7 separate regions of the Mus musculus genome follow, and all the other regions are reported to be linked to region 7. The links are microRNA targets in miRTarBase. Many come from high-throughput screens and were not tested one by one. Region 7 holds a microRNA gene; each other region holds the end of a gene's coding sequence.
The links. The annotated mature microRNA mmu-miR-410-3p reads AAUAUAACACAGAUGGCCUGU and lies in region 7 at 1,448-1,468, shown strand. An mRNA with a match to its seed (bases 2 to 7 or 8) in the 3' UTR can be bound and repressed. Matches are read on the target gene's strand: a 7mer-m8 pairs with bases 2 to 8, a 7mer-A1 pairs with bases 2 to 7 and ends in A, and an 8mer does both.

Region 1 (4,249 bases), not on the chromosome of region 7:
GAGGCACAGGCCAGAGGATCGAGGCCAGCCTACACTTTGGAGAAAGACCTTGTTTCAAAATGGGGTTAATAACATATGCCTTTAATCCTAGCACTTAGGAAACAGGTGGCAGAGCAGCCAGGCTACACAATGAGACTTTGTCTCCAAAAAGGGGAGGGGGTACCTCTTGGGTTTTTGGTGGGTAATCAAGAAATCAGCTAACAGATACTTCCCTCTCCTCCCCACCCCTGCATTAGGAAAGTGGGAGTGCCCGTGGCATCGGTGTGACGAGTGTGGCAGTGTAGCCGTTTCCTTCTGTGAATTCTGTCCACACTCATTCTGTAAGGCTCATGGAAAAGGGGCTCTGGTGCCCTCTGCACTAGAAGGTCGTCTCTGCTGCTCCAGCCACGACCCTGCATCTCCTGTGTCACCAGAATACTGGAGCAAGATCAGATGTAAATGGGAATCCCAAGATAGTGGAGAAGAAGTAAAGGAGTGAGCGGTGGTGACCTCCTCCCACTGCTCTCAGTAAAGAGGCGCAGAGAGGCCACGCCTGCCCTGCCCTGCCGTCAGTCCGCCTTGACGGAGATGGGCGCCAGCTCACACAGGCTAAAGCACTTGCTGGTGTCTGGGTTTTCTATTTTGTTGTTTGGGGGATAATTTTGTGGACAGCAAAATTCCCTTGGTCTCTTCTTGCCTTTCATTGTGCTTCAGTGTCTTTGCAATCAGCAAAAGAGGTGTCCTTGTTTTTAGAGTTGAGAGAGAGAAAATTAAAAGAAAGTTTTGTCTATACGATCAGTGTAAAGCCTAAGATGTACTCCCGGGTTATGTAAAGTGAAAGTAGTCATTCCTGTATTTATTTTCATTTTTAGGTATTCTGAGAAGTGTAGTTCAAACAATCTAACCTCCATGAGTGCTCGTGCGTGTACGTGCGCGTGTGCGTGTGTGTGCAAGCGTGCATGACTGTCACCTTTATATACCTCTTTCCTGAGCCATAGAGTGGCTAACTTCTCTTTCCTTTTTCCCGGGCCTTTTCTCGGGTCAGAGAAGGCTCTCAGCAAGTATTCAGACTGGCCTCTTGAAAACAAACTCCTTGACAGCATTTACCTCTGTGGTCTTAAACTGGGTGGGCTTCATGGTGCGCCAACTCTACGTAGAAATATCTTAGAGGGACAAGGAGTGAGTGCATTCTACTCATTGTGATTTTCTGAAACATTTGAGGGATGTGAATACATAGGGGAATGCTCATTCCTGCTGTCCTGACCACTGGCAAGAGGCTAAAGAAAGATAAGGCACAGACCAAACATTGGATCATATATGCACCATTTTCTGACCAATTTAATGTAGACTCCAGTCTAACCTGGAATTTAAGGGCATTTTATTTTCTGTCTTTCCCTCTGCCAATCATGTTTCCTTTGCCAGCTGGGTCACTCAGTCATGTTTCCTGGTAAAGCTATATAACTGAATCTGAATTATATGAAATAGACTTTTTCAGTTGATTTCCTAACTTAGGGATGATGCAAGTGGACAGAAACATCCCTAAGTTATATGTGAACCATTTCTACTTAGTATTATGCAATACTTAAGACTGTCCCCATTGCATAAGGGGAAGAACTTGCTCTTTTACAGGGTATGTAGGAGCCACAGAGATGCTCCATGTAGAAAGCACTTGAAACCGCCCCCCACAAAGTCAGTGTTTGCAAACATGGCTGTGAGGTTTGAATAGTACAGACCCAAGCATACCAAGGCGTCGGCCCGCAGAATTCACTTGCATCTAGCACTTAGGATCTAGTCCAGTATTACTTGTGTGAAATCATGTCAGACATGGTAACATTAGACTAAATAAAAATCTAGTGTTACCATGAAATATGAACTTCCTCAGTGTGTTTCAACTGCTTACTGGAGGTACCCAGTAGGCTCTCTTCTCCTCAAGAACCTATACTTTACTAACGTAGGGCACGAGATGCTCTATGACACCCTGTAGTTATGTTAGGTGCGTTTGTCCTTTTTTTAGTTTTTTACAAATCAATTCAGACCTCATCTCTGGACAAAAGAAAGAGCAATTTTGTGCCTCTTTTTTTTAAATATATATAAATGTGCAATTTATAGGCAACAGACACTACAGTTCCTCTCTAAGCTCCTGAACTGCCATTTACCTAGTCTAGCACTTGTGGTAATCCCGCTGGCTAGACAAGCTCCTGTGAGGAGGGAGACAGGACGGTACCCAGCACCCAGTGCAGTCCCTACGACCGACTCGAACGAAGCACAGCCCACGCAAACACTAAACTCTCTGCTCTTGAGCAATTATGAAGTTTGATGTCCTTTAAAACAATAATGTAAGAGTATCTGGGTTTTGTCATATTAAATTTTATTTTATACAGACATAACATTTTTTAAACTTGTTGATAAGCGACTTCCTTTGATATTCCAAATGTAACCCTCATGAGAACAATGTCCGATATGAGATTGTATCTTGTTTCCTTTTTGACCTCGTGCTTTTTAGTATCTGATAACTTTTATAGAGTAAGCCCCAGGGTTCATCATGTATTTATAAATACCCTACCCTGACCTATCTCTCTCCTGCTTCTCTGCTATGGCTCGCTTGTTTTTATATCTATAAAAGGACTTTGCACTTTTCAGATCTTTTCCTACTAGATGACTAACAGGCTTGCTCTCAGAAGCCTGCCTGCTCCAAGCCAAGTGCAAGGGCGACTGCCTGTGCCATCATCGCAGCCTGGGTCTTAGAACTGAGGGTTAGGAAGCAGAACGTTGGCTGACTGGTGTAAGTATACGTACACCGTCGGTCGTTTCATGTCCTGTGTCAGTGACATTGCAAGGCACTGTGCTTACTCGGAGCCTGAAGCTGCTTGGTGGTAGCTTTTCAATATGGTTTAGGTATACAGCATTTGTGGTTGATTTTATTCAGCCCAGAAATAAAGGACTCAAAGCAGCATGGGATACTAGTGGTATTTCCTAACCTCAGGAGGAAGATGAGAGTTCTGGTTATCAGTGGAAAGCTTTAGAAATTGGGCTGGAAAGAGCTAGAGATGATAGCACGAGACCATCACAAGCACTGTGCCTTGTAGGTGTCGCTGGGCCGCCAGGGTAGCTGCCTGTGTCTGGCCAAGCAGGATGGGACCAGTGCTCGTCACTGCCAGTGTGCTGCAGTAACCTCTGATTTCAGTCTCCAGTCAGGGTGGGGATCAGAGTGGAGTAGGTTTTATCTTCACTTTTGCTTTGCAAGCCCTACCTACTCTTATTTTAATTCTCAAAAATTACCTTTCCTAAGCTGTAGAATAGACTTGAGTTTTCTGTGCGTTATATAAATAACATATATATATATATAAATATAAAATGTTTTATATATATAAGTGGTGTGTGTGTGTGTGTGTGTGTGTGTGTGTGTGTGTGTGTGTGTACACATACATACTGAGTTAGGAAGTATTTGAAACTAAAGAGATAATAAGGGCCTGCAGCCCACTGCTTCTGTCAGTGTCTCCCACTGCAGTGTTTGCGGAAGTGTGTGTAACTAATATGGATCTGAGATACTGAGGGTCTGTCTGCTCATGTGAAATACTCGGCTGGACTGGTAGGCAGCTTTTATGCAGTGGCTTCTTTTTTGAGTACTTTCTTACTGTTTCGGGTCAAAGCCAGACTACAGTTTGAAGTCCTCCCATTATCTGTTCAGAACATAGACCCGGCTCTCCAAGACCTGCCGCTAATCTTGTCAAAACAACACTCCTCTTGCAGCACTTCCCCACGGAGCTAAAATGCTGCCAACCACATGCCATGCCCTAATGGGAGAGGGAGACAAATTGCCTCAGTCTCCCTGAGCGTGAGCAGCGTATGGTCTTTATGTTTCTCAAGGCACTGCTTCATTTCTAGACTTGAATTGCTTTTCACGTGGCTGTTGCATCTGACCATCCCGGACTCTGCCAGGCTGCTAAGGGCAGCGTGGAAGTGATCGGATGGCAAGGTCCTCAGGAAGGACCGCCCACACTTGGTCTTTGCTTATTTGTAACAGAATGGTTGGTTACGGAAAGGTCTGGTCCCTCCTTGGATGGACGAAGGGATCCGTGTAGGCAGCTTTGCAGTGGATTGTTGTATGGACTGAGGTGTCACAGTTTTCACCTTGGGTGGGGGAATGGGAATGTGGGGAGAAAGGGAGGGAAAGGTACAGTGCAGTTCCCCTAACACCGAGACCCCCCCACCCCATTTGAATTCAGGCTCTTCAATTCCTTGGGACTTCAGATTCTCATTTTATATTTTA
Region 2 (4,274 bases), not on the chromosome of region 7:
CACTGTTAACTCCTGTCACTCAACTAATCAGACCATGATTGTCTTCTCTTCTGCCTGTACCTCTCAAATGCCCAGGTTACAGCTGAGGACAGTGAGGCCAGGAAGGTGACTGGGACTTGCCCAAAGTCACACAGCTATTGGACAGCAAACTCAGCCTACCATGCAGACCTGCCAGCCTCCAGCCCATACAACCTGACTGACAGATGCACACAACACTGCTGCCCTTTCTCACGAGTAACTCTGCCTTGTGGGTGACTGCTCTGCTTGGCCACCATCTCTGGGGCATGTACTCACTGGTGGCTTTGGGTCCCTTACGCTGGCAAATTACCAATTCTCTCTGGATAACCAAATGTCTATCCGATGATGAAACCTGTCAATCCCCAATCCTCAAGTCCCACACGCCCCAACACAAGCTGCTTTGACACTAAACTACACTGACTCACGAATCTTCTGATGGGATGTTGGCCCCAATTCTCCTACGCCCCTAACACTGTAGAAATGTAAGCCAACTTCAATCTTCCTCTCCTTCAATGGTAGAACAGGTTTTGAGGCTCAAGGTCTGTAGAAAATAGCCCTGATGACAGAGAATGAAACCGCAACAGTTCCGGAGAAGGCATTCCAGTAAGAAAACAGAGCAACCCACACAGTCCCTGGAGTTCTAGCCACTCAGTATTGATAGCTCTAATGAAGGCAGGGCGGGGTCTTCTCACTGCTGAGAGCTCAAATTGCTAGGCTGAAAAGCAGACCACAGTGGGTAATGGCAAACTGAAGGCTCTATCTGCTTTGCAGGAGTGGTTAAGTGTCTGGGTGTCTGGGTGTGAGGGGGCCACACCTCCTTCCTCAAAGCTATTCAGCTGTGACTAGCAGATAGCTCGAAATGAGGAGAGCTGATAATGTTGACAGTGGACTTTTTCCTAACTTTCCTGATGTCACTTTTGAGTTCCCAAACTTCTGACCTGCGAAGAATTTTAAACACCAGTTCAGCAGTGAGAACAAGAGAATCAAACTCATCCCACAGAAACCCTGTGCTGAGCGAGATGGGAGGTGCACACACATATCTCAGTCCTCTGGAGGCTGAGGGAGGGTCACCTCAATTTCTCTCTTTCTTTCTTTCTTTCTTTTTTTTTTTTGAGACAGGGTTTCTCTGTGTAGCCCTGGCTGTCCTGGAACTCACTCTGTAGACCAGGCTGGCCTCGAACTTAGAAATCCACCTGCCTCTGCCTCCCGAGTGCTGGGATTAAAGGCGTGAGCCACCACCGCCCGGCCTTTTTTTTTTTCCACCTCAATTTCTAGGTTAGCCTCAAACACACAGTAAGGTCAGACTGGGATATATAGCAATACTGTCTTCAGAAACCAAAACAACAACAACAAACCATTTTTAAACATCCCACAATAGAAACAGAAGACAACTTGGGCATTTTTCCTAGAGAGAGTTTCAAGATGACAGTATTAAGAGACACAAGGGAAATATGCTTCTCTGATACCTGCGTTTTACCAAAGATAGGATTTAAGTGGTCTGGGGTGAGACTTGATAATTAAAAACAAAATAAACAAACAAATGAACAAAATGAACAAACAAACAAAAGAAAAAAAAACCCAGACCCTTAAGTTCATTAGTTAGATACAGGTCAGCAGGACAATTCCTTAAGAAACTTATACTACCACACCCAGACACTTACTTCTGACGTAATGGGCAAAGTGACCATGAGGGAAGCCTAAGCCATGGCCCGGCCACTGTGGGCACGCCGTTATGGGGCATGGCTGCTCATCTGCCTGGAATGTCCCCAGCAAGCCTTTCTATAAATAGATTTTGAATCACTTTGTCAATATTATTTCTCTTATCATTTCTTTTATTTAAAAATAAATTTAAAATAAAATTTTATAGTGGCAAAATAATTTTAAATTAAAATTTCCTACTTGAAGCTAACAGAGATATATATCTTATAGAAGGGAAGACTTTCCTGCCATTAGTAACGAATGCTTAAGCCAAGGAAAGGTGATGCGGTTCAAAACACGGTCTCCCTGGAAATGCAAGCAGAGAAGCACAGCGTGGGTAAACGCTGCTGGTGAGCCCGTGGTGCATCTGCCAGGCCCTGCAAGGCCAGGACACACTTGCCACGGGGAAGCTGCACACAGAAGACACAGAACAAAATACACGGATTACTTTTAGCATGTTAAAAACAATCAACCACATCAAAAAGTATACAGATAAAAAAATGCCATAGATGACATAAGAAAATAGTGTGTCCATATATAGCATATATATATATATATATGTATATATATAATCTACATTATTTACCACTATGATATATACTTTCTGAAGAGGCAGAGAGCTGCCATCATGAACTAAACTGTACAGCTTGGCTCCTTACAAGTCACACTTTAAGACTGAAATTAATATCCTCAGCTACATGTCTATATACATTTATATCTCACCTTCCACATGATCTAAATCAAGAGCCTGGTTATTCTGTCAGGAGTTGGGAGTTTCAGTGTGGTGTTCACCTTTAATATACTGCATTTGCTTCCACACTTAATAACATCATTACCACATTAATTAACTTAGATTAGAATCATTATATACATAAAAATATTGTCACGTTTGCTAGATAAACAATGTTACTTTCATGAAAACATATTCTTGTACCTCACAAACTTAAGTCCCCACCTTGGAGCAGGGGGAGTGTCACTGTTGGACTTTCTAGTTTCTGATATTCAGATACAAGAAGAGGGTAACGGTGGGCGAGCACCTACACAGACGCCGCCATCGCTCTTGGAGAACCCAGCACTTTGTCAGTGTCTCGGTGACAGTAGTGTGTGATAGCATAAAAGGAATCATCACCTTTTTTAAAAACCATGAACTTCAGTTATTTTTCACTGAAAAAAAATTCCAAAAGTATGAAACAAACTACCCTTTTTCCCCTTTTTTTACAAAGATCAAAATTCTAGATTAAAATTCCTTATTAATCATTAGGGTATTTTTCACAATTTCGACCGGGGCCCAGTAAGTGTTAGCAGTATCCACCCACTGTGCTCTGTGAAGACCGAGTGCCAGAGAAAGCCTGTGAGAAGGGGAAGCAGGGTGAGAAGCAGCCTTCCTTATGGTTAGAGCTGCTTCCCCACGACTGTGAAATGCAATCTTCTGCGGCCTGGGGCCCTGCAAGGTCTGACTTCCCTCACACCCGGCCAGACCAGAGCCCGGGGCACAGCAGCACCAAGACTGCTGGAGATGAGGGGACTCAGTGAGCACTGTGCAGCCGCTCACTCGGGTAACCGACCCACTTTAGGCACCATCAAGTGGTGAGCCTTTAGCTTTCAGGAGGAGATAAAATGGCAGCAACTGAAGGAGAATGACATTCTGTCAGGCGCTGGATTCATCTCTAGTCAGTTTCAGTTTAGAACCTGGGTTAAAATATGTTTGGGCAGGGTGGGCAGAAAGATAAAGGGTTAAAAAAAATCCACTGTTAGTCTATGTATCTAGATTAAAGGTGGTTTTAAAGACAAAACCTATATGCAGTTGCCTCGTCTGTCTATGAAAAGGCGAGGGTCGGCCCTCAGAGTATCTGCTCTATAGCGGTCAGTAGTCTACTGTTCTAACAGCAACGGAACAGAGCGGGTCTGGGGAGCTACGAAGGGACCAGCACAGAGAGCCGCCCTGTGTGTGCAGCCCTCGTGCTACTGCTGGGTCCCCAGGGTCCCCTATTAAAGGTTCAGCCAGGATGCAGCTGACCCACTCTTCTTCAGCAGCCTCTGCAGAGGATGAAGCCTTCCCACACTCTTATCACTGACACACACTGAGCTGCGCACGCTGTTTACAATATAAAAAATACTGCTCTGGCAATTATAAACATAGCAATGTGGGCATATTGTTTCTATTCTCTTGTCAGTGAATACAGCCACACGCTCACAGCAACACTGATTCCTGCACAGAAAGTCCCTCTCCATTTCTGTAGTGATGTGCGGAAGGTGAGGGCCCTGCATATGGATACCCAGGAGGACTGGCATCTTCCACAGCTGCAGACATCTTATACCTCACTGGACTGTCTACAGACACTTCTGGAAGGCCATGGGCCTGAAACGGTATGTGCTGAAAGGCTGCATAGTTTGGTAAATTGCTTAAGTGGCTACGGTGAGCATCCCGAGTCCATGATTGGCCATGCATCTCCGGTCTGTATGTGTAACTAACTTCTGACCATTTTCTGTTCTCTGGCAAATAGTCCACCGGAGGAAGGATGAACTGTCCATTCTTTGGTGACCCCGAACTGCCGTAG
Region 3 (4,307 bases), not on the chromosome of region 7:
TATATATATAATTCTAGCCTGCAGAGGCTGCAGTAAAGAATCAAACATCTAAGGCAAGCTTGGCCTTCATAGCAAGGCTCTCAGGAATTTGATAGGAGCACACCAGTGTGGCAGGAGTGTCATTGAGACCTTTGTCAGCACACAGCAGTCACAAGGCTGCTCTGCTGAAAAGCATGGCAAGCCGAAGCGCACACCCACTCTGACTCGCATGGACGCATGAGTCGTGACAGGGCAGTGGGACTCAGAGGGTCGGTTTAACTTTGTTTTCATGTGTCCCTAAACTCTTCAATATCTACACATGTCTGAAATAAGAGAAGGGAGCGGCACGGCCACATTTTCTGACTGTAACCTATGTTTGTAGGCTTCCCAGTGAATAACAGCAGCAGCAGTACTGTTCAGAACTTTAGTTTTAAAACAAGCCCTGGACTTGCCACTCCTCCTTCCGGAAGCACTTCAGTATTTGGAAGTCACCCAGCCTTTGGGGCTGGGCCCTCTGCGGGCTCCTCCATCTCTTCCTCCACTCCAGCCTTTGGACTTGGGAAACCTGAAGCCACGTCTGCTGCATCATTTTCGTTCAAGAGCCCTGAAGGTTCCAGTTTTGCATCACCTGGGTTTTCGGGATTTCCAGCCTCCATGGCAGCGAGTCCCTCTGGCTCTACAACAGCCCCTCCCTTGAGAAGCGGCAGTTCTGTGGCTGGTTTTGGCAGTCCTAGCCCACATTCTCAGGCTGTATTTGCTAAACCTTCCACTGACGTGTTTGGAGGTAGCGGCATATCTACCTCTGTCCTAGCCTCCGGTGCCGCTGATAACGCACTGTTCACACCCAGGGATCAGCTGATGAAGGAAGAACTGGAGCAGTTTCAATCCCAGAGATTTACCCTGGGAAAAATTCCACTGAAGCCGCCACCGGTCGAGCTTCTGACTGTATAAAGGTCAGGTTTAAATACAGAAAGAATGCCTTAGCCAGGCATGTCCTGCATGCCTACAGTCTGGGAAGCTGAGCAGCAGAACACCACAAATTCAGGCCAGTGTGGACAGCACAGAGTGAACAAGAGACCTCCAAGAGAAAGCTCTGAATGGCTTTGAAAGCCCTGTTTTTATAGTGCTGCAGATCAGGCTGGGCTCACCCAGGCCAGGCGGATTCTACCTGACCCATACTCCTCCCTAACTATGGCTTCTGAGATTGACTTGAATACGTTTATATATATATATAGCTTTCAGTAATTTGAGGGATTTTAAAGTTTAACTTTTCTAAACACCCAGCTAAATAAAGGATAGCCAAAAAAGTCAATAAGCAAGGGACTCTTTTGTACTGTAATTACGAGTGGAACTAAACAGTACAGTGTACTGAATAAAGTAATTTTCTCATTCTACTCCACTTTCTGTCCCTTTAAATAGGGATGTGAACAGTGGTTTCTGGAGATCAAACCCAGGTACAGTGTCTCCTGCATGACAGGAACTCCGTCTCCCAACTCTGACTTGTGCCTGCATGTGTGTCTGTGCACCACGTACATGCCTGGTTCCTTTAGAGGTCAGATTCCCTGCAGCTGAGGTTACAGTTGTGAGGCACCATATAAAGGTGCTAGGAACTGAACTCTCGTCCTCTGAAGCAGCAGTCCTCCTAACCTCTGAACTATCTACCTCTCCAGTCCCAAGCCCTCACCTTTTACATGGGAGAAAATCAAACGTGGAAGGAGCCGCTGAGTGGGTGGAGCAGTGGCTGCAGAGATATGCAGATGTGAGGACCCAAGCTGATGCCCAGCACTTAGGCATGGGAGTGCGTGAATCTGTCTCCCCAGCACTCAAGAGGCAGAGACAGGTAGATGCCCAGAACTTGCTGACCAGCCATTTCCAGAAACCCTGTCAAAAGGATGGAGAAATGATAGGGGAAGACACCTAACACCAACCTTTGGCCATCACACACACCTGCGCACAAACACACATGCGTATAGTAGACCAAAAAACTCAAGCAAATGGCTTACCTATTGAAGGATGGGCACTCCAGGTGTTCATGAACAGTGCGGAGCATTCTTTCCCTCGGGATCCATATTCTGACCCTTTTAAAGTGTGATTCCCATCTAACATCAGAGGCGTTGCTCTTCTATGGAGTCCAGCAAATGCAGATCAACTACACAATGACAGGCGGACCAATACATGCGTGTCATTAACAAAGAATCTTCCATCACGTGTCCTTTCACGTGCTTGCTTTAGCAGAGCATCCTCTCTCCTGTGTCTGCTTCAGCGAAACATGCCGTCACGAGTCTGCCTTAGCCTTTCACACCTGTGTCCACTTTAACAAAAACGTTCCTTCATGTTTGCCCCAGCAAAACATCATCCAAACAATTTTCCAAAGAACCCTTAAATTTCCACTTCATTATTTAATCTGGAGTCCACCCTGAGAAGTGGGTATGGTACGGTATGCATCCACTTTCCACAATGAACATCCAATAAACAATATAGATAAACATGGACTGTCTGTTATCTACCACCACCATGGGGAGCATGCAGGTCTTTGCTACAGAGCCGCTGCAGCTAAATCTCAGGTAGAAGGCCTCTGTACTTCCAGCCTCCTCCACTGAGCTAAGGACAATCACCCCTGAGACAAGCTGGCACTTCCCTTCCTCCCCAGGCTCTCACCTAGATGCTGTCCCCAGCCCGTGCACACACACACACACACACTCCTCCGTTCTCAGCTCTTCTGTGACTCCCAAGAGTCCAAGAACCCCACTGCCCCAGCCTTGTCACAGTCCTGGGGACCGCCGAGCCAGCTCCAGCTTTCCCACATCTCAGACTCTGCTTTCTCACCCTCAGAGCAGTATCTAGGTGCTTCCCTGAAGCCCAGCACACTGCATGGAAAAACAGTCAAGCACATCCCATGTCTTACCTCCCCTGTGGCTGTACCCTGAGGCAGGGTGGATGCAGACCCACATTAAATCATAGCTAAAGACACCCCTGTTGATTCTTGGGTGCCTCCCCTATCCCAGGTCTCTGTCTCTTCCTGGAGATGCCCCCTGCCTCCTCACCCTCAGATTTGGGGAGGGGCAGGGGGATGGTTGGATGGCCATGAGAATTAATGGATATCTACACCATACCTCTCTCTATTTTTTTTTCCGAGACAGGGTTTCTCTGTATAGCCCTGGCTGTCCTGGAACTCACTCTGTAGACCAGGCTGGCCTCGAACTCAGAAATCCGCCTGCCTCTGCCTCCCGAGTGCTGGGATTAAAGGCGTGCACCACCACACCCGGCTTTACACCATTACCTCTTAATCCTAATCTTCAAACAATTTCACTAACTAGGAACCAAGCATTACAACAATATGAGTGGGGGGCAGGGGCCCAGAGCATTCTCATTCAAACCACCACATGCGCACCCCTCCAGTGGTACTCTTTATACATATCCTGATAACTACACTGAGAAATAGTATTATGAGGAATCATATTTTGTATCTTATTTACAAAGCATCCTGAAGAACTTTCCATATTAGTAACTATGAGGGTTTGAATAAGTTTGGCCCTATAGACTCATGTGTTTGAATGCTTGGCCCACAGGGAATGACACTATTAGGTGTGGCCTTGTTTGAGTAGGTGTGTCACTGTGCTTTGAGGTCTTCTATGTCTAAACTCCACCCAGCCTGGAGTCAGAGTCTGTCTGCAAAAGACAGGCTGCCTTCAGGTCAAGATTCTTGGCTCCTCCAGCACTGCTTGCCTGGACGCTGCCATGCTTCCCACCATGATGATAATGAACTAAACCTCTGAAACTGTAAGCCAGCCCCTGTTAAATGTTTTCCTTTATAAAAGTTGCCAGGATCATGGTGTCTCTTCACAGCAGTAAAACACTAAGACAATAGCAGATAGATTTATCTGGCTATTGCCCATTGCTAACTGATTTAACTATAGCTCCAATTGTGAGTAGACAATACTAAATTGGTGGATTCTAAGACATAGGTTTTTATACCATTGTGAGTATAACTGAAAATACTGAGTAGAAACTGGATGGCTAGTCCTAGTCTTGTTAGATGCCCCCTGGTCCAGCTTCCCCACAGTATTGATCCCCAGCTGCTGTTGGTGTGGTAGGAGGTTGTGGGACCATGAGGCAGCAGGGCCTAGCTGGAGGAAGTGTCTCGGTAGGGTAGGCCTGTGTTTGTTGGCTGCCCTGATATGAATGACTCCACTGTGCACTCCCTGCCATGCGCTGATACTGAAAGCCAAAACGTCCCACTTACGTTGTTTCTTGTATCTTTTAATTCTTTCAAATCTTACTTTTAATGATGGTTCTTAAACATCTTAACCTCCCTTTTAGCCCACCGC
Region 4 (4,273 bases), not on the chromosome of region 7:
TACTACCTCGGCTGTGCCTTTACCCCGGCTTCTGCTTCCGCCTGCCCCTGTCCAGGTGTGCCAGAAGGCCGGTGAGATTTCCCTCCTGAAGCAACAACTGAAGGACTCTCAGGCCGATGTGTCGCAGAAGTTGAGTGAGATCGTGGGGCTGCGCTCACAGCTTCGGGAGGGTAGGGCCTCGCTCCGGGAGAAGGAGGAGCAGCTGCTCAGCTTGAGGGACTCCTTCGGCAGCAAACAGGCCAGCCTGGAGCTGAGTGAAGGCGAGCTGCCCCCTGCCTGCCTCAAGCCTGCGCTGACCCCCGTGGACCTGGTCGAGCCACAGGAGGCGCTGGCCTCCTGTGAGAGTGACGAGGCCAAGATGCGCCGGCAGGCTGGCGTGGCGGCTGCCGCTTCTCTGGTTTCTGTTGATGGGGAGGTGGAGGCTGGAGGAGAGGGTGGGACACGGGCCCTACGCAGGGAGGTGGGGAGATTGCAGGCTGAGCTGGCTGCTGAGCGGCGTGCCCGTGAGCGCCAGGGTGCCAGCTTTGCGGAGGAGCGCCGGGTGTGGTTGGAGGAGAAGGAGAAGGTCATTGAGTATCAGAAACAGCTCCAGCTGAGTTATGTGGAGATGTATCAGCGCAACCAGCAGCTGGAGCGGCGACTTCGGGAGCGTGGGGCAGCAGGGGGGTCCAGCACGCCTACTCCCCAGCATGGAGAGGAAAAGAAAGCCTGGACCCCCTCCCGCCTGGAGCGCATCGAGTCCACTGAAATCTGATTCTCTACGTGCACAACCTTCTGACACGTGCCCTGTCTGAAGGTCGGAGTCACCAATGTCCCTTCCATTCATCTCCCTTCCCCACGTGTGCTGCACATCCCCAGACCAAAGAGGTTCTCGAAGCAGCTGTGACCAGCCCCTCCCCCCACTTGTCCCCCGTCCTTGCAGCTCCAGCACTGCCTTTGTGGGTGACCACTCCAGACCCTCCTGCCAAGGAGAGCATGGGAGAGGGCAGAGTACAATGGGGTGAGGTCCCAGGCGCATGGAGCAAGGCTCCCTTTCTGGGGAAGCCTCGTGTTGGAGATAGAGGCAGCAGGCCTGCGTTGCCAGGGAGTACCCCAGCCCCTTTCCCTTCTTGGGCTGCTACCGCCGCCACCACCGTCACCACCATCTGTCCAGTGCTACTGTCTGTGCCCTCCTAGGCCACACAGCCTGAGGGAGCTTGCATGGGTCTGCCCGTGTCGACAGACCCTAGGCTCCCAGTCTCTCTCCTTCATGTGCTATTCTCCTTCCCCAGGCAGATTGGCAGGGGAAGTGGGAGCAGATGGCCTGCCTGTGGTTGAGAGGGCTACCTGCCCGACCCCTCCCCCACCAAGGTATCTTGGGCTCCAGCCTCAGAGCCTGGACTAGTTCTGAGCATGTGTCCCTCTGTGTATAGTGAGGAAGTGAGAGCAGAGGCTGGAAACTCAATCCCAAGGGGAGATCTGCCTTCCTACCCTCGGGAAGGGTCACCTAGAGGCTTCTCAGCCCCACCCTCACCCTCTGGCCAGGATCCTACAAGGCTACATCCCCTGCTGCTTGGTTGACCCCCCCAAATCCAGGGTCACTGCTCAGCTCTGCTTATAGCTATACCTGCCTCTTAGGTCTTCTGTTTGCCCGTTTCTGAGGTCAGATGGATGGATGTCTGATGTCTTCCTGTGTTTTCCCTCGATCTCTCCCCTTGGCCTCCTTTCGCACTCACATCTTCCCAGGCTGCCTTTTCTTCCAAGTTTCACCTTTCCTCCCAGCAGAAAGCTCTGCTTGGCTTTTGGTGCACTGCTCACCCCCAGCTCCACTGGCCCAAGTCTGAGCCTGGGGCCCTTGCTTTGAGGGGCCAGTCCGAGTTGGATGGGACTGCCCTCAAGGAACAAGGCTAATGTGTGTGTGTATGTTAGAGAGAGAGAGAGAGAGAGAGAGAGAGAGAGAGAGAGAGAGAGAGAGAGAGAGAGAGAGAGAGAAAGAGAGAGAGAGAGAAAGAGAGAGAGGGAGGACTACTGACCCTTGGGTTGCTTGCCAGACTCTTGAGTTGGCTCATTTGTCCGGGCAGGGTTGGCTGGTATGGTCATCAGTATGGGTCGTGACAGTCAATGTCACTTCCTTCTCTAGGATCTCTCAGATTCTATCTCCCCAAGACAGGCAGGGAAATTCTAATTTCTCTCTTAAGAAAGTAAATTTCCACTTCACCAGCAATAACAATCAGAGGAGACTTGGCCCTCAGTCCTTGTATTTCTCTTTTTCACTCTCTCTTCCACCCCAAGATGGAATCTTGGGGACAGGAGGGAGAGGGTTGGTAACTACTGTGAGCAAGTCCCCCAAGCCCTGACCAGCCTCCTCCCATGACTGGTGACTGTTTAACAAGCTGTGCATCCCCCACAAAAATAGGAGTGCCCTATTTGTAGTCTCCACCTCTCTGCACAGCTCCTTCTGGGTGGTCCTCAGCAGGGTTTTGACCTTGATTGGCGGCTACTCTGGCAACCACTGCCCATTCTTCTAATCCCTCACAATACGTGATTCAGACCCTGAGCCTGGTCCACAGTGACTGGGAAAAGGCATTAACACAAAACAAAAGAGATGGGGGGAGAGAAAAATATGAACAGCTTTGGAATGTCCAACTGCAAAATAAATTATATATAAATATATAAATATATAAATATATATATCTACCATATGTGATGGAAAGAGTTTTCATTTTTCCTTTCCCAAAGAAATAAAATGGAGAAAGCCTCTTGGATGGCAATTCTGTGGCCAGCCTGTATCTTTGCAAGTACGGGAGGTAAGGTTGGGGGGTGCAGGCAAAGCTGGAACAGATATTTCTCCAGAGGAGGCATGGGACCAGAGTTACTCATTGTACTATGCAAGGAGATTGGCTCAAAGCCCAAGTCTTCCATGCTTGTCCAGGAATTGTGGTTCCACCTTTCCTACCAATGGGGGTGTTCTCTCTTCAGTTCAGGCTGTTAGCAGTGTTACCAGCTGACTAGCTCAGGAGCCATACACTAGGCTGCTACCCAGAAGGCAGGTGATATGGGCAGCTAGGCACAGCCTGCAGTCACTTGAACACTCCAGTGATTAGCATGGAATCACAGAATGGGTTTTCAAATAATGACAAAAGACCCAGGCATGCTGTAAAATGGTGATCCGTCCTTTACAGGGTTTCCTGCAGTCCACCCCACAAAGCCTCACAACAACAACAACAACAAAAACAACGGAGTGTTCAGTAAACATATCTAACCACTTTTAAAACATGGTTTATTTTCCCTTCACCCAACAAGTCCAGTAGTAGGTATCACAGATATTGGCTCTCTGTGGATCTAAAGCAGTGGTTCTCAATGTGTGGGTTTTGACTCCCGTGGGTTTGACTCCTTTGGGGTCAAACAACCTTTTCCCAGGGGTTGCATATTGGATATCCTGCTATCATATATTTGCATTAAGATTCCCAACAGTAGCAAAATTACAGTTATGAAGAAGTGACAAAAAGAATGTTATGGTTGGTGGTCACCACAACGTGAGGAACTGTGTTAAAGGGCCACAGCATTAGAAAGGCTGAGAACAATTGAGCTAGAGTCTAGATTTTTTCATCCTTATCCACTCAACCTGTCTCCTCTTTGCCACAGAGCATCCCAGCTCTTTGAGAAGATTGATTTGCACCAGTTCATCGTGATATTGGAGGTTTTCCTGAGGCTGGGTGTGGTAGCACACACCTTTAATCCCAGTTCTCAGGAGGCAGAGACAGGCAGATCTTTGAGGCCAACCTGGTCTACAGAGTGAGTTCTAGAACAGCTACTCAGTCAGACACTGTCTCAAACAAACAAACAAACAAACAAACCTATAAAAATTATACAGATACCTTAAAAAGAAAAAAGTTTTCCTGGGTGTTGGGGAAATGGCTCAAACAATAAAGTGCCTGCCATACAGGTATGTAAACCTGAATTTGTATCAGCAACAACAATATAAGAGCAGGCCCTGAAGCCTGTTCTGTCTGTAACCCCAGCACAGGAGCCACTAGGTCTGTTACTAATCATCCAATCAGAATCTGTGAGCTCCAGTTACAGTGATGGACACTGTCTCAAAAAGTAAGGTAGACAGTAATTGAGGAAGTTGCCTGATGGTGACCTCTGGCCTCCATATGCGCAAGCCAAGAAAGTCCTAGAAGCATGCAATAACTCTTCCTTTCCAGTACTGTTGACTAGAGGTGGGCTATAAGCTCCTCCCACTTCATAGGAGACTAGGAAACAGCATTTTGCAAAGAGAAACTAGATTGTC
Region 5 (4,257 bases), not on the chromosome of region 7:
CCCTGCAGGTGTTTGGCTTCCTGAACCTGGTGCTCTGGGTTGGCAACCTATGGTTCGTGTTCAAGGAGACAGGCTGGGCCGCCCCATTCATGCGCGCACCTCCAGGCGCCCCAGAAAAGCAACCAGCTCCTGGCGATGCCTACGGCGATGCGGGCTATGGGCAGGGCCCCGGAGGCTATGGGCCCCAGGACTCCTACGGGCCTCAGGGTGGTTATCAACCCGATTACGGGCAGCCAGCCAGCGGCGGTGGCGGTGGCTACGGGCCTCAGGGCGACTATGGGCAGCAAGGCTACGGCCAACAGGGTGCGCCCACCTCCTTCTCCAATCAGATGTAATCTGGTGAGTGACAACTGGGCGGATGCGGTAGGCAGGGAGCATACAAGGAGTGAAGTTTGAAGGAACCAATAGATAGGCAGAACCAAAAAAAAAAAAAGGTGAACTTGGTAAAACTAGCCAATGAGAGGAACCGTGAGAAGGAAGGGGACGGAGCAGTGCTCAGAGTAACCAATGAAAGGAGTGTAGGGGCACTTGCGCAGTGGAGAATCACCAAAGTGGTGTAGGTTTCCAGGAAGGGAAGGGGAGGAGGGTCTTTGAAATCATTGGTAAACCAATAGGCGGTAACGCCAGTAGGTGGAAGAAGGTAAACACGTTGGGTTTTGAAGGGCGCTAGCGCTAAAGCAGGATGTAGGTCAGCTGCTACCTCTCCTTAACCCTTTAATGAAAGAGAGAGTTTGGAATTTCAAATGAGGAAAAGGGGAGGGCTGGAGGCCTTAGAAACACGAGTATGCCTTTTTGTTGGGCCTTTAAAAAATGAATGCCGCCGGACGGTGGAGGCGCACGCCTTTAATCCCAGCACTTGGGAGGCAGAAGCAGGCGGAGTTTTTGAGTTCGAGGCCAGCCTGGTCTACAAAGTGAGTTCCAGGACAGCCAGGGCTATACAGAGAAACCCTGTCGCGAAAAAAAAAAAAAAAAAAAAACCCTGCCTGGTGTGATGGAGCACATATATAATCCCAGCACTTGAGAGGTAGAGGCATGGGGATTGCAAGTTCTCGAGTCCTGCGTGGTCAGTATAGCCCAATCCTGTCTTAAACAGAGACGGTAACAGCATCTAGGTGGGAGCAGATGTGGTCCTGGGTGAGCCTTCTACAGCAACCCACATTTAATTGTTTTTAAACTCCTTGGACAGGCTCTGAGACACACCTTTAAGCACAGCTCTGGGGGAATTAGAGACAGGCCTAGGTCTCTTGTTTTGCAAAGCAATTTCCAGGCTGCTTGGAGACCCTGTGTGTGTGTGGGGGGGGGGGGGGGATTCCAGTCCTGTTGGTTCCTATTTTCAAAATCTCTCCAGCCTTTTCCTTTTTTTCACAATTATCTTCCTTAGAGTGCTTCCCAAGTGCCTGTCTTCTATCCTGTTTACAACCCCTTCTACCACCCACCCAGCAGCCTCAAGGATTCTGCTGGGCCACTGGCCTAGATTCAGAAGTCACTGTCCTTCCCTCACTGTCTGTTGTAGCATCTCACTTAAAAGCAAAAACGATGTTAGTGTGCGCCCAGGCCCACCAATGCAGCACTGCCCTATCTTCCCCACAGACAGAATGTGACCTTCGCCTCCTAGCATTGTTTCGGGCAAACTGGCCCGGGCCAGGTCTAGGTGCACTGCAGGGCCTTTGCTTTTGCTTTCTACATACACACCTTTCCCTAGCCATTGCTTTGGTCACTCACTCAATGAGGTTTTTTGCTGGCTGGCTGGCTGTCGGGAGAGTTGCTTTGTTTTACAAGTACTGAGACTTGAATTCTTGCACACTAAGCAAGTGCTCTAACACTGCCTCTTTTTACTTCTTTTTTGTTTGTTTTGTTTTTCCGAGACAGAGTTTCTCTGTGTAGCCCTGGCTGTCCTGGAACTCACTCTGTAGACCAGGCTGGCCTCGAACTCAGAAATCCAGCTGCCTCTGCCTCCCGAGTGCTGGGATTAAAGGCGTGCGCCACCACTGCCCAGTCTCTTTCTACTTCTTATTTTGAGACAGAGTTTACTAAATTGCCCAGATCAATTTGGAACTCATCCTATAACCCAGGTGGGCTGTGAATTTGCAGTACTCTTGTCTCCATCTCCCATGTGGCTGGAACTCATAGGTTTGCACCCACCAGCACACCTGACTTAGTTGTTGATAGTATTTTTGAGACAAGATCTCCTGTAGCCAAGGCTGGCCTGGAGCTCCTTAGGTCACTAAAGCTGATCTTGACTTCCCGACAGTGCCTCTACCTCCCTGTTTTGCTTTGGTTTGAGTTAGGGTCCGATTATGGAACCAAAGCTGGCCTTGAACTTGTTTTCCTCCTGCTTCTGCCTCCTAAATTTTGGCACGGGTATATACCACCAGCTACATATCAAAGGTTGTCTGTCTAAAACACCTCCGCTTGTTATCTCTCGCATCATACCCTATGTTTTTCCTTCTCACAATTTGTAATTTACTAATTTGTGGTTCATATATTACACTAGATTGGAGATCTAAGACTCATTCGTGCTACCCATATATCACTTAGAGTACTTTTTTTTTTTTATTCTTTTATTTAATCGTAAGTTCAAATGTCCATGGAGTCCAGAAGAAAGGTCAGCTTCCTTGGTGATAAATGTACAGATTGTTGTAACCCACCCAGTGTGGGTTCTGTGAGTGAAATGTGGGTCCTCCAGAAGAGCAGCACACATTCTTAACTCCTGAGTCATCTCTACAGGCTCACTTAGGGATTTTTTTTCTTTTTTTTTTTTTTTTTTTTTGATTTTTTGGTGACACGGTCTCTCTACATAGCCCTGGCTGTTCGGGAACTCACTGTGTAGATCAGGCCGGCATCAAACTCACAGAGATCCAACTCCCTCTGCCTCCTGAGTGCTGGTATCAAAGGTGTGCACCATCATGCATGGCCTATTATCGTCTTATATTTGATAATCTACTAATATGTCATGTTCATTGTGAAACCTGTCTCCTTTCCTGATATGATGTAAACCTCACAGAGATAGGGATTTTTTTTTTCTCAATGTGGATTTTCAACAGTGACTAGAACGGTACTGGTTAATGGGCTATTTTGGTTAAGAGAGGGGACCTTAACCGTTCCTTTGGTACCCTGTTTGAGCAGGGTTGGTAATATCTTCCTAGTGAGAGCAGCTAGGATGGCGCTGACTCCAGACCTGTTGGAGAAGAAAAAGCCTAGCGGCCCAATCCCTTCCTGAGGGTACTGCCCTCCTCTGGGAGCTCAGACTCTGCCCTCACCTGGACCCCTTCTCTTTTCTCTCTACAGGTCAGTGAAGCCCACGAAGACCCCACGGGTGGGCAAGAGCTCAAGAGAAGGCCTGCCCCCCTTCCCATCCCCATATCCTAGGTCTCCACCCCTCAACCCAGGAGACCCTGTCTTTGCTGTTTATATATATATATATTATATATAAATATCTATTTATCTGTCTGAGCCCTACCTTCACCCACTCCTCCATGCACTAGGGGCCCAGTCCTGAATGGGCTCCTCCCTACCCCTGACCTTGCACTCCTCAGCCCCTATCGGTTCCCCAGCCCTGTCCCGTGATGTAAGGGGGCTCTAGAAAGGGGACAGGAAGGGGGCCAGACCTTGGCTGCATGGAGTGGGTCGATGTGACTTTTTCCCCCTTCCTTCTCTCCCTCTGCCCCTCCTAACTCTAGCCTTGGTTCCTCCAGCATCGCCTGAACTTAAGAAGCTCTCAAATGGAAATTCAACCCCAAGAGTAGAGGGGTGGAGGTGGCTTGGATGAAATGGGTGGAGAGGAGATGGCCTCTGTAGAGAGAGGACCAGTCAGCCAAAAGTTGAATTCCACACATACTGGATGTGGAGCCTAAAAGGGAAGTGGTGTCCTACACCATTCTGGAATGGGGCTAAAAGGGACTGGGGAGAGGGGTACTAGGAGGGGTGTGGCTTAAACACATGGTGGGTTCCGGAGTGGGCAGGTTTGGGTTGGATCCAGCATCTCTAGAAGGGGTGTGTCTTGGAACATTCAGGAGTTTGAGCTTGATTCCAAAGAGCTTGAGCAAGGCTAGAAGTGGGATTCGGGAATGATCTAAGCTTGAGAGAAGGTTCTGGTCAGGATTGCAGACAGGCAGGTGAAGAGGACGAGGGATGTGTGGTGCTCTCAGAAGAGGAAGCCCATTCTGTAATGGGGCAGAAAAGAAAATACGGTTTCAGTTGAGTGGAGTTTGAGCAGTGGGTGTAGGAGGCCATGGTTGGGAGCTGTGAGGTGAGTTT
Region 6 (4,307 bases), not on the chromosome of region 7:
TGGCGGTGCTGAATTGCAGCCTCTCCTGTTTCTTAAAACTGAAGACTGTTTTTATCCCCAGTAACTGTGAAATTTGCTGCTGTGAGTGAACAAGTCTGTCTCATTGTGTGAGAAAGCCACTGAGGCTGTCCTGCTCTCTTCTATGTAGAATTAGTCTGAGTTAAGAGAGTTATGTGCTAGATATAGCATTGATCATCTCTAAATGTTTTAAGTATTTGGAAAAATAAAAAAAATCCTGAACTCATACAGTGCTAACAGTTGCCCAAGTTCAGCTCCATCATGCTGGACATGGTAGAAAATCAAAGCAGATACACAGTGAGATTCGCCAGGCCTCTGTCTAGGGGTTTAGGAAGCCTATGGAAAGGATGTTGTAAGGCCAGGTAATAGTGGCTCTTAAGATGGCTACTGCATATTTCAAGCCAATAGAGGCCAGTTTTCTGCTTTCTGCTTTGTCTATGTGCTCAGCCACTGCTTGCTTTGTGGTTCTTCTGCCCTTGGGATGAAACATACTGCGTCGCCTCACACCTCAGCTGTCCACAGACTTAAATCCACATCAAAGTCATGGTGGGTTGTCCCTGACCACAGCCATGTTTAGTCAGGTAGTGTCGTCCCTCACATCTGCTCCTTATCCCTCACAGGAAGAATTTGAGAAGGCCCTGGTGTGGTACGAGTCAACGCTGAAGCTACAGCCAGAGTTTGTGCCCGCCAAGAACCGGATCCAGACAATTCAGTGCCACCTCATGCTGAAGAAGGGCCGTCGCTCTCCCTAGAGCACTCCTTCCTGTCCCTCGGCTCTCCCAGCCCTCGTCAGAACAGAGCCCCACCACTGCTGGTACCCGCATGGATGATGTGTGTGAATTGCCAAGTAAAATGTAGCAGAGCTTGGCCTTGCAGGGCCAGCTGGGTTTGCTTGGTTTTAAGTTCCTCCTCCCCCAGCCGCCCTCCGAAGAAGCATCTTCAGAAACAGGGTTTCCCAGACACTGTAAATACTGAGCCAGGACAACTCGGAGCTCCGCTCTGTCTTCCAAACCTCCATGCCTTCAAGGCTCCTCTGTGGTCCAGACGTTTCCCTGGGGAGGCCAGAGCCACGCTGCCCATTCTCTGCTTCCTGTGTAGCCTCCGTTGTCCCTGGAATCGCAGTGCTGCCCGGGGCCAGTCAGTGAGAAGCAGGGATTCTCCACGTCCCCACCAGCTCTCCTCCCTGACCCAGTCTCGTCCATTCCACGCTGCTATGTTACAAGCTCTCAGAGATAGTTTGCAGGGGAGGAAGGGGAAACAACTTTACAAACGAAATATTTACAACAGCAGAAACTCTTAGGGTCAGCTGACCTTTGTAAGTTATTTATGTTGGGGTGGGAGGGGGGCTGAGCAGGGGAGTCAGCCATGTGCAACATCTTTATCATTTGTATTTTAATTGCCGATCACAAGGAAACCAATATGTTGAAGTCCTATATAACAGGTTTATATATATAGAATATGTGTATTTGAAGCCCTCTACAGACTGAGTCTGTGTTACTAATTCCTTGTTCGCTGTGTTTCCTGTCTTGGACTAGGCGTGACTGTCAGCCCTCTCTCTGAGGCTGGCACCCCAGCTCCTCAGAAGAGAGCCAGGAGCCAAGGTTGGGTGTCCCATACAGTGCCCTCATCTTTGGTCCCTGGAGAATCAAAAACTCCAACATTTTGGATTCTTTACGGGCACATCCTGAGAACAAAAATAAAAATTGTTTATGAGCAAAATCATTCCGTGGTGTAGTTTTTCTTCCATTATGGGCTAATCTGGACTCTGGTAACCCCGCCCCTGGTTAGGTAATTCCTGGGTTATCCCACAGCATCAAGGTGAGGAGGGAATAAACTTAGAGCTTGAAACATCTGACCGGAAGCTGCAGCAGCAGCAGCAAAACTCACGGTATGACTGACCTTCCTGGAAAAGGAAGCATTGTCAAAGCCAGAGCTGTGACTCCTGACTCCTCGGGCCAGCCTTGAGCCTCACATCCGCCCAATAAATATCTCACAAAACCAACTGGTCACCCCTGGGGTGAGGCCCCACTGAGGGCAGCATTCTACAGAGTTTCCCACAACATTGTCAGGCCATCCCTAACATTGGCTCACAGAATCCAGGCACAGTCCAGCTAGTTGCAGTTTTGGTAAGTGTTTGTAGACTAACCAGCAACTCATTTGCGTCTGGGTAAAGTAAGGAAGGCTCTGCTCAGAAGGGTCCTGCAGTAAGTATCTAAGCAACATCCTGCCTCCCTACCCCACCACACTTTGTCAGTTTTCCAGAAATCTTCAACAATTGCTTATTGGCCTTTGAAGCTTACGATGAAGTTGATGTGGTGTATAATTCTGCGAGTTCCCTGTGGGAACTCACAAGTCCTGAAGTTCCGAAGCAGAATATGAAAGTCCATTGTGGGCTTGGGGAGTGTACCTCAGTGGCAGAGCGCTTGCCTCACAGGTATGAGACCCTGGGCTTGATCCCTCGCACCACAACTTAGTAACATTAAGGTTCCTACCACCCAGAAAAGATTCTCCCACTGATACTTTGTAGGCAAACCGCCTCTGCCCTTAACCCTTAGCAACTACTGGCCTCCTCTCTGTCTCTATAGTTGTGCCATTTCTGTAGTGTCGTGGAAATAAGATTACATCATGTATACATCCCCCTCCACCCTTTGAGGCCAGATTTTCTCATTACCCAGGTTGCCAGTTCTCACAGTCTCACTTAGTTCTACTGTTTTTCTGGAGCTCTCTTCCCTAGATGCCATCATGTAGTGACATTCGTCACACGGCACTGACATGAACTGATCCCCTTTTCTCCTGCCAGGTGCTTAACTCCTGTGTGTAACCAATGTCTGCATCCTCTTCTAACAACAAACAGGCCCATAACTAAGTTATTGCTCAAAACTTTTGAACTAGTGTTAAACAGGCCACACTATAAATCCTACAGAAAACAATAGTGACATCGGGAAGAAGAAATGCCAGAGAACAGGAGCTAGAAAGAATAGGGGAGGTTAAATCGACAGGAATAGCAGAGGCTTGGAAAGGATGCTGGCCACCCATCTCTGATCATGTGCAGCTCCTGACCCAGGTAAGCCCTTGGAGTAAAGATAGCCACACATTAGTCAATAGTGTTAGGTCTTATTAGCGCAGGCCTTCACTCTGCTAGTAGGATTTCCCTAGTTCTAGAAACTCTTTCCTTCCTGCTAACCCTGATTCTGAAGCATGTCTGTTTAACACAGTAACTCTAACCTGGGAGGTGAGACATGCTCTAAAAAACCCCACAGTAGAAACTCCTGTGGAAGTTTTCAAATTGATGGATTTCTTCCATTCTATTTTCCAATTTACTAACTCTCTCTTCAGCTGTATCAAATCTACCATTTTAACCAATCTGGTTTTTATTTCATGTCACTTTTTGCACTGGGAAGATTTTTTTTTTTAGCTAGTTTTCTGAACTGTATCCACCAGATTATATTATATAATCTCATTTTGCAGGGCATAATCTTTTAGCCACTTAAAGAGTTTCAGCACACTTATGTTTCAAATTGGTATTTTTCGTGTCCATTAGGCATGAGTTCTTCTGTTTGTTGATTATATATTTTATAAAATATAAATCCTGGGCTTGAGAGATGGCTCAGCAGTTAAGAGCACTGATCGGTCTTCCAGAGATCCTGAGTTCAATTCCCAGCAACCACATGGTGGCTCACAACCATCTGTAATGGGATCTGATGCCCTCTTCTGGTATGTCTGAAGACAGTGTATTCACATACATAAATAAAATTTAAAAATGATAATAAGATGTAAACTCCATCCCCCCCAAAAAAGGAAAGAATCTATCCGAACTGCTTGCTCCCCTTGTCCCCTTACTCTTACTCTCAGTCCTCACCAGCCACACTACCCTGACAGTAATAAAATGCCCACCATGTTTCTGCCTCAGGCACCTCTGAATTGGCTCACCTCACCATTTTCTTTCTCTAGATCACATACAGAATTTAGGATACAGAATTAATATATGCGATTGTTGACTCTTAGAGTCCCACAATCTATTCTCTGTAAGCTGGAGAAAGTTTTATGCCACAGAGTCCCAAAGTTGACTCAAATTCAAGCCTAAAAACCAAGGATCGGGAACCATGAGGGCAGGCCACTGCCACTGATTTCCTCATCCTTGGTTCATATACAACATCCTCAGAGACACAGAAAATATAAGCCATGTGTTAGTCCTTAAGATGGTTAGTTTTAATTGTCAACTCAATGTAATCTAGAATCTCTTGGGAAGAGAGCCTCAAGGAAGAAATGTCTACATTAGACTGACCTAT
Region 7 (4,270 bases):
GCTGCCCGTGGCGTCTTTTCCCCGTATGACACACTGCATGTGACCAGTCTCTTGCTGCCCTGCAGCAAGGCTAGAAGCCTGTGTGAACTCTTGCCAAAATCAGAGAAGGGATTCTGATGTTGGTCACACTCCAAGAGTTTTAAAATGAGTGGCGAACACAGAATCCATACTCTGCTTATGGCCTAAGTCAATGGATCCTGACCCTTACTGGAGAGCCCTCCCTGGCGTGCTCGTGCGGGGCAGCCATACACACTGGCACAAGGGGACCCTGCGGGATCTCCTTCCGCTGTTCTTTCTCTCCTCCCTCCATGTTTATCTTTGAAGCATTACTTGCTTGGTTTATAGGACTGGATGGTCAAGCAGTTCTTGCTATGACATCACCGTGGGGGGAGGGGGCAGGTGACAGGGCGGGGATGCCAGGGTCGTGGGGCTGCAGTGGTTGGGTGGGCCCAAGGAGGAGCATCTCTGGATGATGCAGTCATTGCCTCCTCGCTTCTGGAAGGCATCGTCTCTGGGAGGGTGGTGTGGTATATGCGCAGGGTCTCAGCATCTCCCTATCTCCAGCTTACAAAGGAGAGATAGAGTAAGCAGAGTTCTGCACCCACTTCTGCCCCGAGTCAGCTCCTCGCTACCTGGGTCTCAAGGTTGTCTGGGAAGGCTTTAGATATTCTTGGAAGGTGAAAGGGTGGTAGATTGCACTGGGGAGGTGATGGAATAATTGCTTTCACGTGGTGGAGGGTGGCTCCTCACTGAATGGGGAGTTATAATCTCTGAGGGGCTCCAGGATGGTTCTTCTGGAAACTCAGCCATCGGCCTCGTTCTGAGCATCCGAGCCTCTCCGTGGTACTCGGAGAGAGGTTACCCGAGCAACTTTGCATCTGGAGGACGAATGTTGCTCGGTGAACCCCTTTTCGGTATCAAATCCCTCCAGGGAGGCCACCTCAGGGAAGACCATGGACTCATCTCGCTCTGGGGTATGGGACGGATGGTCGACCAGCTGGAAAGTAATTGTTTCTAATGTACTTCACCTGGTCCACTAGCCGTCGGTGCCCGCTGCAGCCTGCGCCCAGGATGTCACAGCCTCAGCTCAACACCTCTGCTGGTACTTGAAGGGAGATCGACCGTGTTATATTCGCTTGGCTGACTTCGAATAATACATGGTTGATCTTTTCTCAGTATCAACGCTCAGCTTGGAGAAGCTCTTGGAGTTGCAGCCCCTGTGGGGGTGGGGACAGCATGGTGCTTCTAGGTTGCTGCCTCCGCGGGGAACTGGGCTGGGTGGAACAGGCTGTGTGCTGCCTGTGTCAACCCTACTCACCATTTATATGCAATCCCCCCCTTCCCCCCAGGACAGCTTCAGGTGGTGATTCCAGCTCCAGGGTTGCTGCGGTCAACACTGGGTACTTGAGGAGAGGTTGTCTGTGATGAGTTCGCTTTATTAATGACGAATATAACACAGATGGCCTGTTTTCAATACCACCTGCCACTCCGGTCACTCGGCAGTACATACCAGGTGTCACACCACTGCCCGGTAGGTAAATGCATGGACTCTGTATGACGCTTGTCACCCCCTCTTCACTGAACCTCAGCTCTGAGGAGCCTCCTGGGATCGCACCAACCTTGTAGGCTGGGCCACGAAGCATTGGCCAGATGTGCAATGGATGGCTGTCCACTTTCCATGCCTCTTTCCCGCCACAACAATGGGTGTTTGTCCCTGTCTAAGGCTTCCACCGAGGGCTGCATGCTCAAATGCCCTGTACCCTGGGTGCTTCTCAATACCATGAGGGCTTGGAGGGGCTAGCATGATACTTAGGGAAGAGCCAGGCCAGTTGGTTACACGTGCAGTTCCTAGTATCTGAGGTGAGATTGCCCGTGACGGGTTTCCATTCTTAATGCTGGTACAGTGCATGGTCACCTCTCTTTATCATTGGCTCTTACTGTGTGAGCATGGGTGTCAGGGGAGGGACACACTTTGCTGACCCACTGGACACCACTGATGGTCAGGCATGTAGCTGACTCATCCTGACCCAGAGCCTCACATCTCCTGAGGTGGGGGTTGGGAAGTCCAGAAGGGCATCTTAGAGGAAGAAGCATCCTAAGTAGAGTCCGTGCTGGTGGTACCTGAGCTAGCTTGTCTCTGAGACGTTTGTTTTCTATCTGATGACTATCCCACAGCCTACTTCTCTGCACCATGTCCTACCCTAGACCATTTCTACTTTGAGGCATTGATGCCAAGAACTGAAGCCTTTGTGTTGGTTGACTCTCTAGTCTGTATGTGAGACCATCCCTTGGCCTGTCTTGTCCTCAGTGCCACCCTGTTGGAAATAGCACAGAATGTCCTCCTGAGTCTACAAGGCAGTGATACCCAAGCTCTGTCCCTGCTTCACGAGCACAGGGGGCCCAGTAGGGATTAGCCTGCACTTCTTTTTTTTTTTTTTTTTTTTTATTTTTTTTTTTTTTTTCATTTTTTTTTTATTAGGTATTTAGCTCATTTACATTTCCAATGCTATACCAAAAGTCCCCCTTACCCACCCACCCCCACTCCCCTACCCACCCACTCCCCCCCTTTGGCCCTGGCGTTCCCCTGTACCGGGGCACACAAAGTCTGCGTGTCCAATGTAGCCTGCACTTCTTCATGTTTCCTCCAACTTAACACTCTGGCTCTGTCAGACTCCTGTGAGCTTACTGTAGAGGCTTGACCTAGAGTCTCAAGGACCCCAGAAAGTACCTGATCACACCCAGTAGGAGCCTTTGAAAGACAGGCTATAGATTTTTGGTATTTAGTAAGGCTCCCCAGGGTGGCAAAGAGCTCTTTCTGATTGGGCTTGCTCCCCATTGGAGCAAGTAGCACCCTCACCCTGGCAACTCCACCCTGCATGCTTTTTCTCCTCTTCTGGGCCTCCTCAGCAGCAAAATGCTCTTCCAACAGAGATAGTGGCTGCGCACCCTGGCTTGTACCTAGCACATGGTCTCCTTTAGATTTCTTCTCTTGTTCAGGATGGTCTGCCCAGGCGCCCTCTCTCTGGGAGTTGGTCCTGGTTACTGTCTCCCACAGTCCATCCCCCTTCCTTGGTCCTCAAGCTTGTAGGCCCCCTCCACAGGAGTTCAAGACTCGGAGGGGATCGTGTTCCCTGCTCTGCAGTGACAGTGCAGGCAGCCTGACACTCTTATCCAGCTCCTTCCTTTGTGATATGACATCAGACTGCTTGTCAGCTATGGCTCCCCAGGTGCCTGCTTTCCCAAACTGCCTAGTACCTTGGTTCCCAGCCTCTCCCTGACCCCAACCAAAACAAAACAAAACAAAACAAAACAAAAAAAAAAAAAAAAGAAGAAGAGAAAAGAAAAGAAAAGAAAAGAAAAGAAAAGAAAAGAAAAGAAAAGAAAAGAAAAGAAAAGAAAAGAAAAAAGCTTTAAGATTTCCCAAGGCAGACGAGGACCTTTCCTTTGCGTCTTTTCTCTTTCCTCTGTTTTACTCCCTACCCCTTCCCTCCCTCCCATCTTACTTCCCTGACTTATCTTCTGCTGTATTCTAAGCCTTAGGATCCAGGCCAGGTCTATAGTGACAGAATAATGGAGTGTGCTGATTGACTAATAGAGTCCCCAAAGGCAGAAACCATATTAGGTTAATCCCCAGGAAGGTGGTGAGCATGAAGCAGGAATTCCATAAGATGTGGTGGCTGATTCCATAAATATAGAAGCTGGGTTCACTTAGTCTTTGCATTTGTTAGAGGCCTCCCACCCCAGCTAGTCACCGATTTTTGAGACGTACAGCGATAGGGGACAGACAGGTCAGCTATGTCTGCGGGCTTTTCTTTACTTTTGTAGCTGGGGGTCTCATGCTAGGCTTCAAATTCATCTGAGCACAACCCCCACCCTCCACTCCGTGAACGTCTCCGTGGCAGCAAGCCAGAGGCCCCTCAGAGGCCCTCGTGCAGCAGGCCTGAGCTGCTGTCAGGGCTAATATTTTATGCATGGACCTAAGCAAATGGGAACATTTGGAGATGGAAATTGCTGTTAATGACACATCTTTGGAATATATTAAACGCGTGCAAGAAGGCTGCTGATCTCTCCATTTAATTGCTCCAGTGTAAGCGCAGTCACACCACGGCATCCACAGATAGGCTACCCCTAGTCTCTGCATCACCGATGGGGAAAGCCCCAGGTACCTCAGCCACCAAGGGAGTATTATGTACAAGATGGAATGTCAGCTGGGGTGCCAAGCAACCACCGACACGCACACTCCAAATTCATTGGAGACCCTAAGAGGATG

Region 1: the mRNA of Nsd3 is a reported target of mmu-miR-410-3p. Seed matches in the 3' UTR shown: 7mer-A1 at 952-958, 7mer-m8 at 1,523-1,529, 8mer at 3,297-3,304 and 7mer-A1 at 3,339-3,345.
Region 2: miRTarBase lists Usp6nl as a target of mmu-miR-410-3p. Seed matches in the 3' UTR shown: 7mer-A1 at 2,282-2,288.
Region 3: the mRNA of Nupl2 is a reported target of mmu-miR-410-3p. Seed matches in the 3' UTR shown: 7mer-A1 at 1,199-1,205.
Region 4: the mRNA of Lzts3 is a reported target of mmu-miR-410-3p. Seed matches in the 3' UTR shown: 7mer-A1 at 2,638-2,644.
Region 5: the mRNA of Syp is a reported target of mmu-miR-410-3p. Seed matches in the 3' UTR shown: 7mer-A1 at 3,409-3,415 and 7mer-A1 at 3,424-3,430.
Region 6: miRTarBase lists Ttc17 as a target of mmu-miR-410-3p. Seed matches in the 3' UTR shown: 7mer-A1 at 1,462-1,468.

The regions. Positions count from the first base shown.
Region 1 is chr8:25,713,923-25,718,171 of GRCm38, forward strand. It overlaps Nsd3 (nuclear receptor binding SET domain protein 3), which reads left to right. Exons shown (of 23, transcript NM_001081269.2): 23 at 237-4,249. The coding sequence ends at 478. Among named protein-coding and RNA genes, the nearest start is that of Plpp5, 4.0 kb to the right of the region's middle.
Region 2 is chr2:6,441,376-6,445,649 of GRCm38, reverse strand. Usp6nl (USP6 N-terminal like) reads right to left here. Exons shown (of 15, transcript NM_001080548.1): 15 at 1,830-4,274. The coding sequence ends at 3,908. Among named protein-coding and RNA genes, the nearest start is that of Gm13388, 5.9 kb to the right of the region's middle.
Region 3 is chr5:24,181,547-24,185,853 of GRCm38, forward strand. Nupl2 (nucleoporin like 2) reads left to right here. Exons shown (of 7, transcript NM_153092.4): 7 at 362-2,462. The coding sequence ends at 930. Among named protein-coding and RNA genes, the nearest start is that of Nupl2, 19 kb to the left of the region's middle.
Region 4 is chr2:130,631,247-130,635,519 of GRCm38, reverse strand. Lzts3 (leucine zipper, putative tumor suppressor family member 3) reads left to right here. Exons shown (of 5, transcript NM_197945.4): 5 at 56-2,755. The coding sequence ends at 754. Gm52563 (a long non-coding RNA gene) reads right to left here and starts at 78. Exons shown (of 3, transcript XR_003954061.1): 1 at 7-78.
Region 5 is chrX:7,648,549-7,652,805 of GRCm38, forward strand. It overlaps Syp (synaptophysin), which reads left to right. Exons shown (of 7, transcript NM_009305.2): 6 at 9-339; 7 at 3,289-4,257. The coding sequence ends at 335. Among named protein-coding and RNA genes, the nearest start is that of Prickle3, 6.7 kb to the right of the region's middle.
Region 6 is chr2:94,298,199-94,302,505 of GRCm38, reverse strand. Ttc17 (tetratricopeptide repeat domain 17) reads left to right here. Exons shown (of 25, transcript NM_183106.2): 25 at 639-1,740. The coding sequence ends at 770. Among named protein-coding and RNA genes, the nearest start is that of Mir670hg, 35 kb to the right of the region's middle.
Region 7 is chr12:109,742,317-109,746,586 of GRCm38, forward strand. Mir410 (microRNA 410) reads left to right here and starts at 1,399; the gene lies at 1,399-1,479. Mirg (miRNA containing gene) reads left to right here. Exons shown (of 8, transcript NR_028265.1): 5 at 1,041-1,102; 6 at 1,350-1,531. It overlaps Mir409 (microRNA 409), which reads left to right and starts at 842; the gene lies at 842-920. It overlaps Mir412 (microRNA 412), which reads left to right and starts at 973; the gene lies at 973-1,052. It also overlaps Mir369 and Mir541.